Canis lupus familiaris: one gene and its partners. The protein of the gene in region 2 interacts with the protein of the main gene of each other region in a pairwise test. Links are inferred from orthologs where the notes say so. Each region holds a gene or a part of one and is shown on either strand. Other genes may lie near its edges. The genes, in order: MAPK14, SUPT20H and ATXN1.

The links.
Region 1: the proteins of SUPT20H (region 2) and MAPK14 interact in binary tests that used the Homo sapiens proteins (3 or more experiments, as listed by UniProt). The link is inferred for Canis lupus familiaris from reciprocal best matches to the Homo sapiens genes SUPT20H and MAPK14.
Region 3: the proteins of SUPT20H (region 2) and ATXN1 interact in binary tests that used the Homo sapiens proteins (3 or more experiments, as listed by UniProt). The link is inferred for Canis lupus familiaris from reciprocal best matches to the Homo sapiens genes SUPT20H and ATXN1.

The regions. Positions count from the first base shown.
Region 1 is NC_049233.1:5,326,014-5,331,514, reverse strand, and holds the start of MAPK14 (mitogen-activated protein kinase 14), read right to left. Parts: upstream 3,761-5,501; coding exon 3,645-3,760; intron 1-3,644. Other genes in the region: SLC26A8 (testis anion transporter 1), read left to right, coding at 4,577-4,631. UniProt on the Homo sapiens protein: Serine/threonine kinase which acts as an essential component of the MAP kinase signal transduction pathway.
Region 2 is NC_049246.1:3,745,941-3,750,909, forward strand, and holds part of SUPT20H (transcription factor SPT20 homolog), read left to right. Parts: intron 1-245; coding exon 246-272; intron 273-821; coding exon 822-854; intron 855-1,341; coding exon 1,342-1,459; intron 1,460-2,633; coding exon 2,634-2,736; intron 2,737-2,874; coding exon 2,875-3,033; intron 3,034-4,751; coding exon 4,752-4,969. UniProt on the Homo sapiens protein: Required for MAP kinase p38 (MAPK11, MAPK12, MAPK13 and/or MAPK14) activation during gastrulation.
Region 3 is NC_049256.1:16,755,810-16,759,889, reverse strand, and holds the end of ATXN1 (ataxin-1), read left to right. Parts: intron 1-2,250; coding exon 2,251-2,781; 3' UTR 2,782-2,873; downstream 2,874-4,080. UniProt on the Homo sapiens protein: Chromatin-binding factor that repress Notch signaling in the absence of Notch intracellular domain by acting as a CBF1 corepressor. Binds to the HEY promoter and might assist, along with NCOR2, RBPJ-mediated repression. Binds RNA in vitro.

The DNA of each region.
Region 1 (5,501 bases), on a different chromosome or scaffold from region 2:
TCTTACTGATTAGGAGTCAAGAAAGTCATCTTTGCATAGTCAATAATGATGTATTTTCATTTATCTGTGCCCTGGCTCATCCTAAAAGAAAAGAATAAAAGATTTAAAACAGTGAATGGCTATTAACACTAAACCTTAGCTTTGTTTATTATATTCATGTATATACAGTCTTATTCCACAGAGCATTTAGGAAGCTGGATTTGATTTCTTAGTAAGTTTTGCCATCCTCTCACTAAAAAATCTTGCATAGGCTAAATACACTCGTGATAAATATAAACTACACAGTAAAATGCCTAGAACAGTAAGCAATCCATAAAATGTAGTTTTTTTATTCACATTAGACTTAGCTTGACGAGGGAATGGATTATCTCACTGTCTTGCTCAGCACTCTATCTCATGAAACCTAGCCCATTATCTAGTCCGTAGCTGGTATTCAGTGTTGTTGAATCAACAAAGGACTATGACTTAAGAGTATTTTTTATTTTATGGCTACCTATTTTATGGCTACCAGGGCCCCACCTCCTCTAATCAACAGCAAGGGTCTGGAAAAACCATACCCAGAGGAAAGGCATTTAAGTTCCTGTTTATATTTCCTTAAACTCACCACAAAGAGTCCCTCCTTCTGTCCCAAAACCAGAAAATCAATGCTTTGCAACAAAGTATTCTTAAACAATTTTGCTTCATTTCCCCTCACAGACAATGCAACAAAGTTCCTTAAAACTGCAAGACTTATTTAGTTCCCTTTACCTTTTAAAAAGGAAAGGTATATTATAAAACCTTATCAATTTTTTAAAAAATTGAAAAATTAAAAAAATAAAACCTTATCAATTTTCAATTTCTAGTCTGATTCCTTGATCTTGGATTCATAGCATACAGGCTGCTGCTTGCCTTTTTACTGTAGACTTAGTGAAAATTAAAATGAGAAAATAGGCTTAACATAAAAAACTTTTAATATACATCAAAGTATATCACACTTAGGAGCAATCAAATTAGGAAACTGACAGATATTTGCGTGAGGTTGCATTCCTTAAAATGCTTTCAGAGATTCTTTTTCGGAACAGACTTCAGATCCAGTTCTACAAGTCACACAAGAAATTCTGTCATTACTTTATAGTTATAACTCCTATTTGACCTAAAACAAGACCAACCTGAATGCCTAATCTTTCTCGCCAGACTTGAGTACAAATTCTCTAAATTATTTGAATTCAGCTTGATTTTCTTATTCCCTAAAATCAAATCTGTTCTTAAAGGATGATGGCAGTGAAAAATAACACAGGCTCCAGAATGCTGTAAGAGAAATTAAAAAAAAAAAAAAAAAAAAAGTTTGCTGCAACACCCAAAACACTGCTAAGAATCTGAAAGAACTGAAAGAATAACTTCAAATAATTCTGAATGAGATGCCACTTACTTATGTATATCTAAATTCTGATATTTTCAATCCAAAATCAATTATATTTGCCATAGTCAACTGACACACATAAGATGCATTCTCTTCCACCAATATACCATATGTCACACTTTAAATCCCTCAACAGAAATACTACTAAAAACAAATGAATGGGCTCTGCCTCCTTGTAAAGACACATAAGAAACTTAACAGGGGCTGTCTCAGAGGAAAGGAATAGCACAGTTGGAGAACAAGAAAGGAAAGGATACCTTTCGTTAAATATCCTTTTACGCCTTTTGAATTTTATACAATGTGTATATAATTCTATACATATTTTTTAAAATATGTTTAACAAAATCACTTCCAAGTGTCAGATATTTCTGGCTTCTGTAAGCCAAAAAAGTATAGTACTAAGGAAATGTAAAGGTCATTTTTATGATACTTCACTCTAAATCTGAATCTGCAGTTCCAGGACAGAGCTATTCATACCAACAGTAGGAAGACCTTGCAAGCAGTTGTTTTCAGGTCCACTAAACTCCCCATAGTTGAGCTATTCTGCTGTATCATTTCATTAAAGTTTAAACATCATTGGAAACAGAAACTTGGTACTACGAAAATTAATGTCAATTATGACATAACAGAATGAAAAAGAGTGGTAAAATAATAAGCTATTAAAGGAGCCATGATCCAAATATATCTCTGAAAATTTGCAAATCAATCACACATATAGATGGATACAGTAAAATGTTGCAAATTCCCTTAAAACGTAAACTGCCATATTATAAAAATGAGGAAAAGATGTCAAGCACGGGACCATCAGCAAGATGAACTCACGCAGCTTGAACTAGAAAATGCAATATGATCTGTTGCTTGACACAATTGCACAATCTCAATTACCCAGAAGATTCTAGCAAACAGGAAATTCATGATGTGACTTTAAGAAACACAAGAATTATAAAGATTAACACATCCAAAAGTCTGGAATTCGTTTCCCTCACCCCCACCCCCACCCTCCCAAAATCTTATGGAGCCCTTTTCAAATGATTCACATGAATACAGGAATTAGTTTCAGATCAGCAGCTCTCAAGTTACAGTAACTCTAAAATATGGTGTGTAATACCTAAACTAGTGAAATATTTTAGATCCAAGAATTTTATTGGATCGATTTAATTTAAAACACAGTGTGAATTAAAGCTGAGAAGTGTCTCTCCCTTCCTTTGCTATATATTCCCTATCCTTATGAAAACCATCGTGTACCTCAGGCTACAAATGTAGATCAGTTCCCTGCGAACTCTCTAAAGAAGTTTAAAAACACAATATTCACAAGATGTACTGCAATTAAGAAATACTTACAATACCTCCCCAGATTGCTCATGATTCTTTGATCTTGAGCGCGTCCAACGGATCTGAATCTCACTTGCTCCAAGTGAAAAAACTGTTTTTGCCAAACAATACTTAAATGAGCAGTGGTATGTGACTAATCAGTGAAGCCGCCAGTTTCTCAAGCTGCAGTGTTCTTGCAGGCACTACCACCCACCCCCACTCAGCGAAAAGGAAATACGCTTTCAACAGAATCGGAAACACACAACTCAAGCTGGCACTAGGCTGGCCGAGATAAAGTCGGTATTTTCGGTTCTTTGGGTCGCTGCTAATGCAAGTGCGAATTCGAAAAGAATGCCTCTCGAAATGAGATTTCGAAAGAGGTCTGCAAAAAAAAAAAAAAAAAAAAGCCAGGGCAGAAAGCCCTTGGTCGTCAGTTTTGTTCCGACGCTCGCAGTCTCCCGTAGAGCTTGGCCCTTCTGCTTCTCCCTGCAGCCCCCCCGGGCTTGTCTGCTTGGAGGGCAGGCTCCCGCGCGCCCAGAGTGGCTGCACCTCCGGAGAGGCTCCTTCGGCTCGAGGCTGGCAGGGAGACACCCCCCACCCCCGGAGAGACGCCCCGGCCTCTGTGCCAGCCCCCCTCCCCCGAGCAGCCACCCCCCCAGAAGGGATTGCGCAGGGTGCGAGGCAGGGCCGAGCTCCAGCACCACCGCCCACCGTGGACCTGCATCCTGCACACAGCCGACCGCCTCCCTGGGGGTGCAGAGTGAGGGGTGCAAGGGGGTCCCGGGCGTGCAGCACAGGGGTCGAATGGGCAACGATGCCCTCCCCCAGAGAAAATTCCTACCGCTTGGTGCATCGCTGAGCTGTGTGGGCAGGCCTGGTTCTGGGGTGCTGAGGCCACCAAGCCCGCCGCAGACCCAAGCCCGGTGACACTCACCACACGGAGCCGTAGGCGCCGGAGCCCACCGGGGACAGGTTCTGGTAACGCTCGGGCACCTCCCAGATTGTCTTATTCAGCTCCTGCCGGTAGAACGTGGGCCTCTCCTGAGACATCTTCCAGCGGCGGCCGCGGGGCTAGGAGGTGGCCCTGAGGGGCCCCGCCTGCGCCCGCACCCGCACCCGCTCCCGCTCCCGCTCCCGGGCCCTCGTTGCCCGCCGGGCCGGGCGGGGACCCGGAGCTGGCAGTCGGCGCAGGTGCGGCAGACGCGACCCCGCCGACTCCCGCGCGCGCGGCCCCTGTCAGCCGCAGCTGCCGGGCGAGCCCGGTGAAGGGCAGGGGCAGGCTGCGGGGCTCAGGGCTGCGCCCACCACGCTCTCCCTGCACCCTCTCCCCGACCAGGCCGACCCCGGGCTGCGCCGCGGAACTGCGGCTCCAGCTGCAGCGCCCGCTCAAGTTCCAGTGATCGCCGTTCCAGAGCCAGCGAACAGGAGTCGCTAGCCGTACTCTCGCGAGACCAGCTCCCGGGACTCTCCGCGAGCCGAGATTTTACCCAATATGGAACCTGCCCACGGGAGGGGGTGGACTACCGGAGAGGATGGGAGGAGCACTTCTCGCGAGAAAAGGGCAACAGCTGGAGACCAGAGGCAGGAACTCTCGGGGACTGCTCTTAAGGGCGCGAAGGCGGACCCGGGAAAGGGAGGGACAGGCAGGCAACGTATGCCGCGTGCGCCCCACCGTGGTCGGCGGGGCAAACGCCCGGCTCCGTGGCGGGAGGCGACGGCGACTAATAGGGTGTCGGGAAAAGAGCCAAAAGATCTTTGAACTGCCGGTAGTCACCAGCAGCCGAGCATCTGCTCAGCAGAACCTCCAACTTCCAAGAAATACTTACATTTGGAAAAGGAAGGTTCCAGCCAGAAAGCCGTTATTCCATGTTCGGGGACATACGGCTTAATCTTCGGAACTGTGACGGACCCTATCCCGAAAGCAAGTATTAGCTCTACGTTAAGTCTGAGGTTTTCCACCCAAACTCTCCTAACGGTCTTTAAACGTTTATGTGCAAAAGAACACTTGGAGTGTTAAAAAAAAAAAAAAAAAAAAAAAGCCAAGTCCCAGGACCCACAGGGAGTCTAAGTGGATAGGTCGGTGATAGGCGCCAAGAACGCGCATTTTTATAATATGCTCCAGGCAGTTCTGATTCAGGAAAGTCTCCCGCATCCCCCTTGGAGAAGGATTTTTGAAAAGAGTACTTCTGAGGGTTTGAAACTGAATCCTGCTCTGAAGCTTGATTCTTGCCTCAGGTTAAGGAGAGCAAGGCAGAGGGTGTCCTATTAGGCAAGTCTATTGACCTCTCTTAGACTCTAGTTCCAGCTTCTGCAAAAGTAATTCCTGCCTTACATCCGCGCCTAATAGGGTTACCTGTAAAGCTGAACAAGATAGTAAGTGTGAGTGAGCAAGATACTATATAACCATGCCTACAGCCACTGTAACCAACTTATTCCTTTGTTAAAGTTTGTTACAATGTCTCTTAGAAGTAACTGGGTCCAAGCCAGGACACCTCTCAACCCTTCCCGTGATTATTCTCTTTCGTGTCGTGCATCCTTTAGAATGCTCAGATTTTGCATATCTTGTCCCAGCACCTAGCACAGTGCCTAGAATATAATAGGTACCCCATAAATATTTATTGAACAAATTATGAATAATGACCATGATCTCAACTTAGGAGAGAGTGCAGGATCCTCAGTTCTCCTCAAGGAAAAACAAAAATAAAAACCAGAGTCATGGGTCATTCCTGGAAAGCTTTTCTTGGAGGATCCGATGTGGCTTAGTCTGGATTCTCTCGCCTATGAAGACATG
Region 2 (4,969 bases):
AAACACAAAGAGATAATATTAATTCTTCTCATTAAAAAAAAATCAGTTCAAATGCCAATTGAGTAGCGGTAACAAGAGAATTGAATTTTTTGCCTTCACATCAGGGAGATGCTGAAAAATGCTGCATGATTTGTTACTTCCAGTCATTCCTCCATATTCATAAATTACTTGAGTTAATAACTATGAAATTAAAGTTTGAGCTGCATTAACCAAGTTTTTTCTTTTTTTTACATTTTATATTTCAGCTCCTCCACAGATGATCATTCAAATTGGTAATTAAAAAATAAACAAATTCACTATTTTAATCTGTTAAGAAATCATATAAATGTCAAATTCTTTAAAAAGATTTGGTAAAGACATTTTATTGAATTGGCAACAAACTACCTTCCTTGTCTAAAATATATTCTAAGATCTGCTCTGTAGACATTAATGACTTCAAAAATCAAAGGTTAAAGTGAGAGGAAAGCCAAAGGCATTGGACACAGTAGTTCAGTGAATTTTGCTGTAGGGCAGACACTTGCAAGTATATATAGCACTTGGTAACTTTCAGCCCAGATTTTGTTTTTATACATCAGTTTTGTGCCAAAATACATCTCCCTTAAATCAGCCAAATTATCCACAGAATTATTTTATAATGCATGCAAAACTTGGTCATTGCTTCATAAGTTTAAATGTATTTAATAATTTTTTTTGTAATATCTCTGTAGATTGACTCATTTTATAAAACTACAGTCACTAAAATATGGAAGCCTTCAAAAGTATCCCAGGGCTCCTTAAGACAACTCTTAACATAATACTTTTCTCTCTTTTAAACACTTCAGGTTTGTTATTGGATCGAAGACTGATGCTGAGAGGTAAAAATATTTGCATTTTTATCTTTAATCTGGATGGATATTAAAAGCTTCACTTTTAAAGGATTTCTTATGGAATTAGGAAAATAACACAAGAATAATGTTTAAAATACAGTGTATTTTGAATAAGAAAGCATAGATAAAATATCTATGGTAGCTCAGGAGGATAATTTCTAAGTATATAATCAGAATGTGAGTGAAAGTCAGTGGGTAATTTCTTTAGCTGCTAATTGGTTAAATAATCCCTGTAATTCCTGTATTAGAAGGAAGATACTATATGTTTATCTTTAGATTGTTTATTAGCAAAATGTTTTGAGTAGCTTGTTGAAAAGACTAGAAGAATGTACCTTTGGTGCAAAGATAAATTGTCTAGTTTGAATCTTTGTGTTAATTTTGGTGGAATTTTTTTGTTAACAGTTATTTATTTCCTATAAATTTGTGTTTAGAACAGAGTTAGCTAATCTTTACTCATTTACTCTTCATATTCCAGGGTAGTCAATCAGTACCAGGAATTGGTCCAGAATGAAGCCAAATGTCCAGTCAAAATGTCACACAGCTCCAGTGGCTCTGCCAGCTTGAGCCAGCTTTCTCCAGGGAAAGAAACAGAAGTGTGTTGGATGACTCTTTTGTCCTTATTTGTTTTTCAAAGAATCTAAGAAATGTTAAAGACTTTTTTTCAAGGGATGGGGGTATTGTGTAGTATTTAACTTTTTATTTTTTTTTATTTATTTTTTTGTGTACTTTTTTTATTGGAGTTCGATTTGCCAACATATAGAATAACACCCAGTGCTCATCCGATAAAGTGCCCCCCTCAGTGCCCGTCACCCAGTCACCCCTACCCCCCGCCCACCTCCCTTTCCACCACCCCTTGTTCGTTTCCCAGAGTAAGGAGTCTCTCATGTTCTGTCTCCCTTTCTGATATTTCCCACTCATTTTTTCTCCTTTCCCTTTTATTCCCTTTCACTATTTTTTATATTCCCCAAATGAATGAGACCATATAATGTTTGTCCTTCTCCTATTGACTTACTTCACTCAGAGTAATACCCTCCAGTTCCATCCACATCGAAGCAAATGGTGGGTATTTGTCGTTTCCAAAGGCTGAGTAATATTCCATTGTATACATAGACCACATCTTCTTTATCCATTCATTTTTCCTTGGGCACCAAAGCTCCTTCCACGGTTTGACTATTGTGGACATTGCTGCTATAAACATTGGGGTGCAGGTGTCCTGCCGTTTCACTGCATCTGTATCTTTGGGGTAAATCCCCAGTGGTGCAATTGCTGGGTCGTAGGGCAGATCTATTTTTAACTCTTTGAGGAACCTCCACACAGTTTTCCAGAGTGGCTATACCAGTTCAAGTATTTAACTTTTTATAATGTAAACTTTCAAGTATACACAAAGGTAGAAGGGTATAATGAACATCTATCTGTGCATATTAATCACCTGGCTTCAACAATTTACTATTTTCCCTGGAAAGATTTAAGAGTGGAAGCTTTGCTTTAGAGTGGAAGTTTACCTATCTGACCTTCCTCAAACTGTCTGCCCACCTTACTATCTAGAAATCTTCATTTTTTATATATACTATAATTTATTTCATGGATCTTCTTATGTGAAATTATGTATTTTTTTAACTCTCACACCCAATCTATAACAATAAGAGTACTTTGCAGAGTTTTAAACTGTGTGTTCTCATCTAGAAGCTATAGTGGCATTAATTTATGAATTTCTGATTTGAGCTTAATTTAATTTTAACAAGTATATTTAATGTCCCTGTCTCTTAGCAGCCTGAGACTGTGTCAGTTCAGTCTTCAGTATTGGGAAAGGGAGTAAAACATCGACCTCCACCCATCAAACTTCCCTCAAGCTCAGGAAATAGTTCTTCAGGTATTAAATTCTTTGTTGTCTGTAATCTGGAGTAAAACATGTCACACAGTCAAAATCTGTTTTTAAAACTTCATATAATGACTTAGTTAACAGAATTTTGAATTGTAAGTGTAGAAAATAACTTTTATATTCTTCTAGGTAACTATTTTACACCACAACAGGCCAGCAGCTTTCTAAAATCTCCAACTCCTCCTCCTGCTTCCAAGCCACCAAGTCTTTCTCGGAAGTCATCTATGGATCTCAATCAAGTTAGCATGCTTTCTCCAGCTGCCCTGTCACCTGCCAGCTCATCACAAAGTGAGTTATAACTTAAATTCCTCATAAGCTCTTCATTAGCTTTTTGTACTTAGTGTTTCTTAAAACAGCTATTTTTTTTTTGACCAGTAAAATTGAAATCTAAATGTACTATGTACCCAAAATGTATAAATTTTGAGAAGCTTCAGGCAAATCTCTTGTTGATTGTATGTATTTTGTGTTTATTGTAATTGTATTTGTTTTTCTGTATCTGTGTATGCACTGTGTGTATACCTTATAGACTTACAACCTACACATATCCTTAAAAAGATGTTAGCCAAATGTGGCAATAAGATTCCAAAATACTTTTTATTCCAGTGTACCCTAGGATCATGTTACATTTTATGTAAATTATATAGCTGATATGAAAGGAAAAATGTCATACGAGTTGTTGCTGCAGTCCTATTTGTGTATGTAAGAAACCAACTAGTTCCAAGGTGGTGATAGAATAAACTGAAAGCTGATTTTTCAGAAACACTCCTACACTCTTAAAAATTGTAATCAGTTACTAAAATGTGGTAATCATAAAGCATTATTCTGAAAATATTAAAATGTAATTTTTACTACTGAATACTTTTTTTTTTAACATCAAGAAGACTTATGCAAGAATTCTAGCATTCAATTGGGAAGATTTCTTCAAATTAGAGATTTCTGAGATATTTAGGTATCAATTTGAAAAAAAGCATTCCAGTTTTTTAGATTTTTTTATAGATAACTAAAGTGTGCTGAAAGTTTTATACACTGCACAGTGATAGAGTGGTCTTCGCCTTAGATATAAACATCTTCATCTTGATAGCTCAAAAGGTGTAATTTTTCTGCCTTCTTGTTTTGCACAAAGAAAAATTTATAAATTTCCTGGAAGTCTTATTCACACTTCTTATGTTGTGGGTATGGATTATGTTAATCTACTGCACACAGTTGTTACTTTAAGTAAGGGTTGAGTGACAGCTTCTGGACATTCACATTTCTTTCCTTTCTTTCTGCAGGACATGAAAGCTAAAAAAGAAAACACCTCAAGAGCTTTTGGTTTTATTTTTTTGGTTTTTGTTTTTTGTTTTTGTTTTTTTTTTAAAAAGTTGATAAACTGTGCATACTTCATTCACAACAGATTTTCTATACATTCTTACATTTAAACAGAAGTACACAGTTACTGTTAAAGATGCAGTATTATCTATCAAATATTTGCTTTATTACTGCGTTTTGTAAATTTGTTTGTCAGGATAAACTTGATGTGTTAGGAATTAAACATGTACATTTAGGTGCCAATTATGATTGTTAACCATATGTAATTTATTAAGTATGTTCAGAGTTTATCTCAGACTGTTACAGAAAAGAAGCAATATTTTTAAGTGAAGTTCTAAATTAGTGAAATCGTAAATAACAAAAATTAATTTGAATTCCTCTTAAAGTTTTTAGGCCAAAGGTAGCATGTAGGAAATTAACTTTTAAATGGGTATTGTGGTAGAATACAAATGTATATTTTTACTGTTACTGTAATAGCATCTCTGATGGAATTTTTAGGTGATATACTGCATCCTTAATTGTAATTGAGTGTAGCAACACTCATGTATCATGTGTAGAAATTAACACTTGCAGTTAACTGCTTAAAAAAAAAAAACTGGAACAAATTGTCAGTGCTAAGTAAGATTCCATTAACCTTATTTTAAAAAGGACTGGCCATTTATAACAAACTAGCAATTTTTATTTTTCTCAATGAGCAGGATCTGGAACTCCTAAGCCATCTACTCCTACACCAACCCCTTCATCGACCCCACACCCTCCTGATGCTCAGAGCTCAACTCCTATTACCCCTTCAGCCACCCTTACTCCCCAAGATTCAGGCTTCACCCCTCAGCCCACTTTGTTAACTCAGTTTGCTCAGCAGCAAAGGTCTCTGAGCCAGGCAATGCCTGTAACGACCATTCCTCTTTCCACCATG
Region 3 (4,080 bases), on a different chromosome or scaffold from region 2:
CTCATGCTTGTCTTTAATCTCCTTAAATATTGTAAACATTTACAGACATTTTAAAGTCTGTTTCTGATGACTCTACCTCAGAAGTCCCTGTGGGTCTGTTTCTGTTATCTATTGTTTCCACTGTTTGTTTGTTTTCATGTCCTCTGGTCTGTTCATGGACCTCATTCCTCTTTTTTGAGTGTGTTTTATTTGAAAAACTGTGGAAATAAAGACCTTAACCCAATTTTAGGGCCTTAGATGATTAAAGTCTGAGCTTCAGACCCTGAGAGGACCTGTGTACTTCTGGTTCATCTTACTCCTAGAGTATAGCCCTTAGCACTTTGGGGTCACAGCCCAAAAGAATAGAGCTCACCAGAAAGCATCCTCCCTTAATACACCTAAAGGGTGCCCTGAATTTCATTCCCTACTCTCCTCCTCTCCCCACCTCGCAACCTTCCCCCACGCCCTCTTGAGATTACCAGAGGTCTACTTGGTTTTGAAACTGCTCAAGGTCGCAATGTGCAAATGCTTTCAGGGAAAAATAATCCCAAACACCAGGTTTAAATCTCTCAGCTATCACCCTTCCCTGAGCCTTACGTGGTTGGTTTTTCATTATCTTCTTTTCTGTCTAATGCAATCAGAAATAAGTTTTTACATTTCACCCTTAGTTTTTGTTTGGTTGGGTTTTGTTCAGAGTATTTAGTTGTCCTCAGTAAGAAGATTGTTCCAGATTACCTAGTCTACTACCTCTATAAAAGCTATTGAAAGTTGACTCTTTCAAATTACTTCATTGTTCTTTTTCTTTTTTATATAGCATAAAGTTGAAGAAAATAAATTTCTATGAAAATTAAACTGTTAGAACCTCAAGTGCATTTCAACCTAATTCAATGGCAACGGTAGGGCTTTCACTGGACACTATCTCCTTGCCTATGCTCACCTATCTCCGCTTCCAAGAGTGGGTTCCCATTGCAACCGCACCTGTACTCCACCCCCGTTATGTTTGAAAACTCAGCACAGTGTATCCTCATCCAAGAAAACTCCCTTAATCACCTCTTCTTCAAACTGGTCTGTGCCTTTCCTCTGCCCTCCAACAACCTGATACTGGTATTAAAGTATTATAACCCCACTCACCGTGTTGATTGGCAATTATGTTCATGTGTCTCTTTTGGCCACCGATTGTGAGCTACTTTGGGACTAGGACTAGGGCTGGCTTTTTCCGTTTATTTCCTTAGCACAATACACAGGTTGCACATGATGATAGAGAAGAGAGCAACCTATTGAGAGGATATTGAGCTTCCCCACTTTTGGTATTTATCTTCAAACAAATGCACGGGCTGATTTGAGTACCTGGTGCTTGACCTTGGATGGGCCAACTACTTGAGCTCTCTGTGTCCTAAATTTTATCATCTCCCCAACATTGTCCACCCCTCAAACCTCTCCAAATGCTGCCCAGCCCTCAGCTCGGGTAAACAGGGAAGCCCTCTCTGTTTACTGTGTCTGCTCCTTTCGATTCTTGAGTACACACTCATTTACCCAATAAATATTTATTAAGCTTCCACCATATGCCAGGTGCCCTTTTAGGGGCCAGGGATATAGCGATAAACAGGTAAGGGCTGCCTTCCGGAGCTTGTATACAGTCTCACTCTGATCCCTAATTATACAAGAATAGCATTTGTCCAGCGAGCTGATAAAAGTGCAAGACTTTTATCTTGTGCTCTCGCTTGAGTCCCCTGCAGAGCCTAGCTTAGTACTAAACACCAAGTACCTGTTCTGGCGTCCTTGGGGACCGATCCATTTGTTTTTAATTTTATTTATTTATTCATGAGAGACACAGACAGAGAGGCACAGATATAGACAGAGGGAGAAGCAAGCTCCCTGCTGGGAGCCCGCTGTAGGACTTGATCCCAGGACCCCAGGGATCACGACCTGAGCCAGAGAGGCTGATGCTCAACCCCTGAGCCACCCAGGTGGCCCTGGATCCATTTGTCTTAAAGGAGGCCGGCTAGAGAGCCCATAGTTAGTGAAATGATATTCTGAACACTAAGTGGACTTTTACTGGCTTCCCCCCAACACCCATATACGGTTAAGTACTGGTGCAACCAAAAATTAAGAGCCTCCTTTGTGTGTGTTGGTGGATGAGGTTTGTGGAAGGAAGTCTTATTTTTTTTTCCTCCTCATTTTGCTTATGCCCAGGCGGCAGGCAGTGTAAGACATAAAACAAGAATAAAGCATCCTCCTCATCCTCCTTCCTCTCTGTCTCTGTTTCCACAGGTCAGCGTGGAGGTTTTGGTAGAGTACCCTTTTTTTGTGTTTGGACAGGGCTGGTCATCTTGCTGTCCAGAGAGAACCAGCCAGCTCTTCGACCTGCCGTGCTCCAAGCTCTCCGTTGGGGACGTCTGCATCTCGCTGACCCTCAAGAACCTGAGGAACGGCTCTGTTAAGAAGGGCCCGCCCGTGGATCCCGCCAGCGTCCTGCTGAAGCACTCAAAGAGCGACGGCCTGGCAGGCAGCAGACACAGGTACGCCGAGCAGGAGAACGGCATCAACCAGGGAAGTGCCCAGATGCTGGCCGAGAATGGCGAACTCAAGTTTCCAGAAAAAATAGGATTGCCTGCAGCGCCCTTGCTCACCAAAATAGAACCCAGCAAGCCCGCAGCAACGAGGAAGAGGAGGTGGTCGGCCCCGGAGACCCGCAAACTGGAGAAGTCGGAAGACGAGCCACCTTTGACTCTTCCTAAGCCTTCTCTAATTCCTCAGGAGGTTAAGATTTGCATTGAAGGCCGGTCTAACGTAGGCAAGTAGAGGCAGCGCGGGGAAAGGAAACTCGGCTCCCCCTTCTCATTTGTATCCAGATTACTGTACTGTAGGCTAAATAACACAGTATTTACATGTTACCCTCCTTAGGTTTCTGTTATAACCTTGTCATTAGAGTTACAGCCGGTGTCGCGCAGGAGACTGGTGCACGCGCTTTCCCACGAGGGCCTGGCCCGGCCGTGAGCGCGGCAGGTGCAGGTGGAGGGGGCCGGGCGCGCAGCCCAGGAAGCCCCCGCCGCTCGCCCCGAGGATGCTCGGAGGGCGGGGGAGCTGCAGGGGGGCGGGGGGGGGGCTCGCGTGGGCTCCCGCGTGGGCGCGTGCACGCGGGGAGGGGGGCACAGGTGCACGGCCGCCGAGGCTCTCCGTCCTTCCCTCGGCCTCCCCCTGCCCCCCTGCCTCTTGCCCTCCGCCCGGGACTGGAGGCCCCAGGGGGAGCATCCTCGTGAGGTCCTCCTCCCGTGCAAAGCCGACATCAGGAACCCCGCTCGCCGCAGGGCATGCTAGAGAGGCATCAGACAGCCCGTGGAAAGCTCCCCGTGTAAAAGAACCTTCTTTTTTTTTTTCCTTCCTCCAACATATTTTACAATAAAAGCAACTTTTAATCCTATAGATATATATTTCCCCCTATGGGGCCTGACTGCACTGATATTTTTTTAGAGCAACTGCCACACGTGGGATTTCGTTTCTGCTTTACTTAGTGCAGTGATGTCTCCAGGGTGTCAGGGTGGGCAAGGGGGGAGGGGGGTGGGCGGCGGCGGCAGGAGTAGCAGAGAGTGGACACCCACTCGGGATTCCGTGCAGTGTTAGGAAAACCAATCAGGGGATCACGTTGACTTCGCTCCCAAGAGGTAGACGCAAACTGCCCTTCTGAGAGCCGCCGAAGCTCTTCGCATTGGGTTTGCAAATTTTGTCTTTTAACTCTAGTACTGTTTATAGTTCATGACTATGGACAACTCGGGTGCCACTTTTTTCAGATTCCAGTGTGACGTGAGGAATTAGATTTTGAAGATAAGCATATATATTACTATCTCTAAGCACTTAAAATGCTGTTCACACTTTATTACCAAGCATCTTGGTCTATCATTCAACAAGTACTGTATCTCCCTTTAAACTCTTTGGGAAGAAAAAAACAAAACAAAACAAAAACAAAAACAAAAAAAAAAACTAAGTTGCTTTCTTTTTTTTTTTTTTTCAACACTGTAACTACATTTCAGCTCTGCAGAGTTTCTCACGAGCAAGATATTGGAAGTTTCAATGTGGTTTAAAGGGATGAATGTGAATTATGAA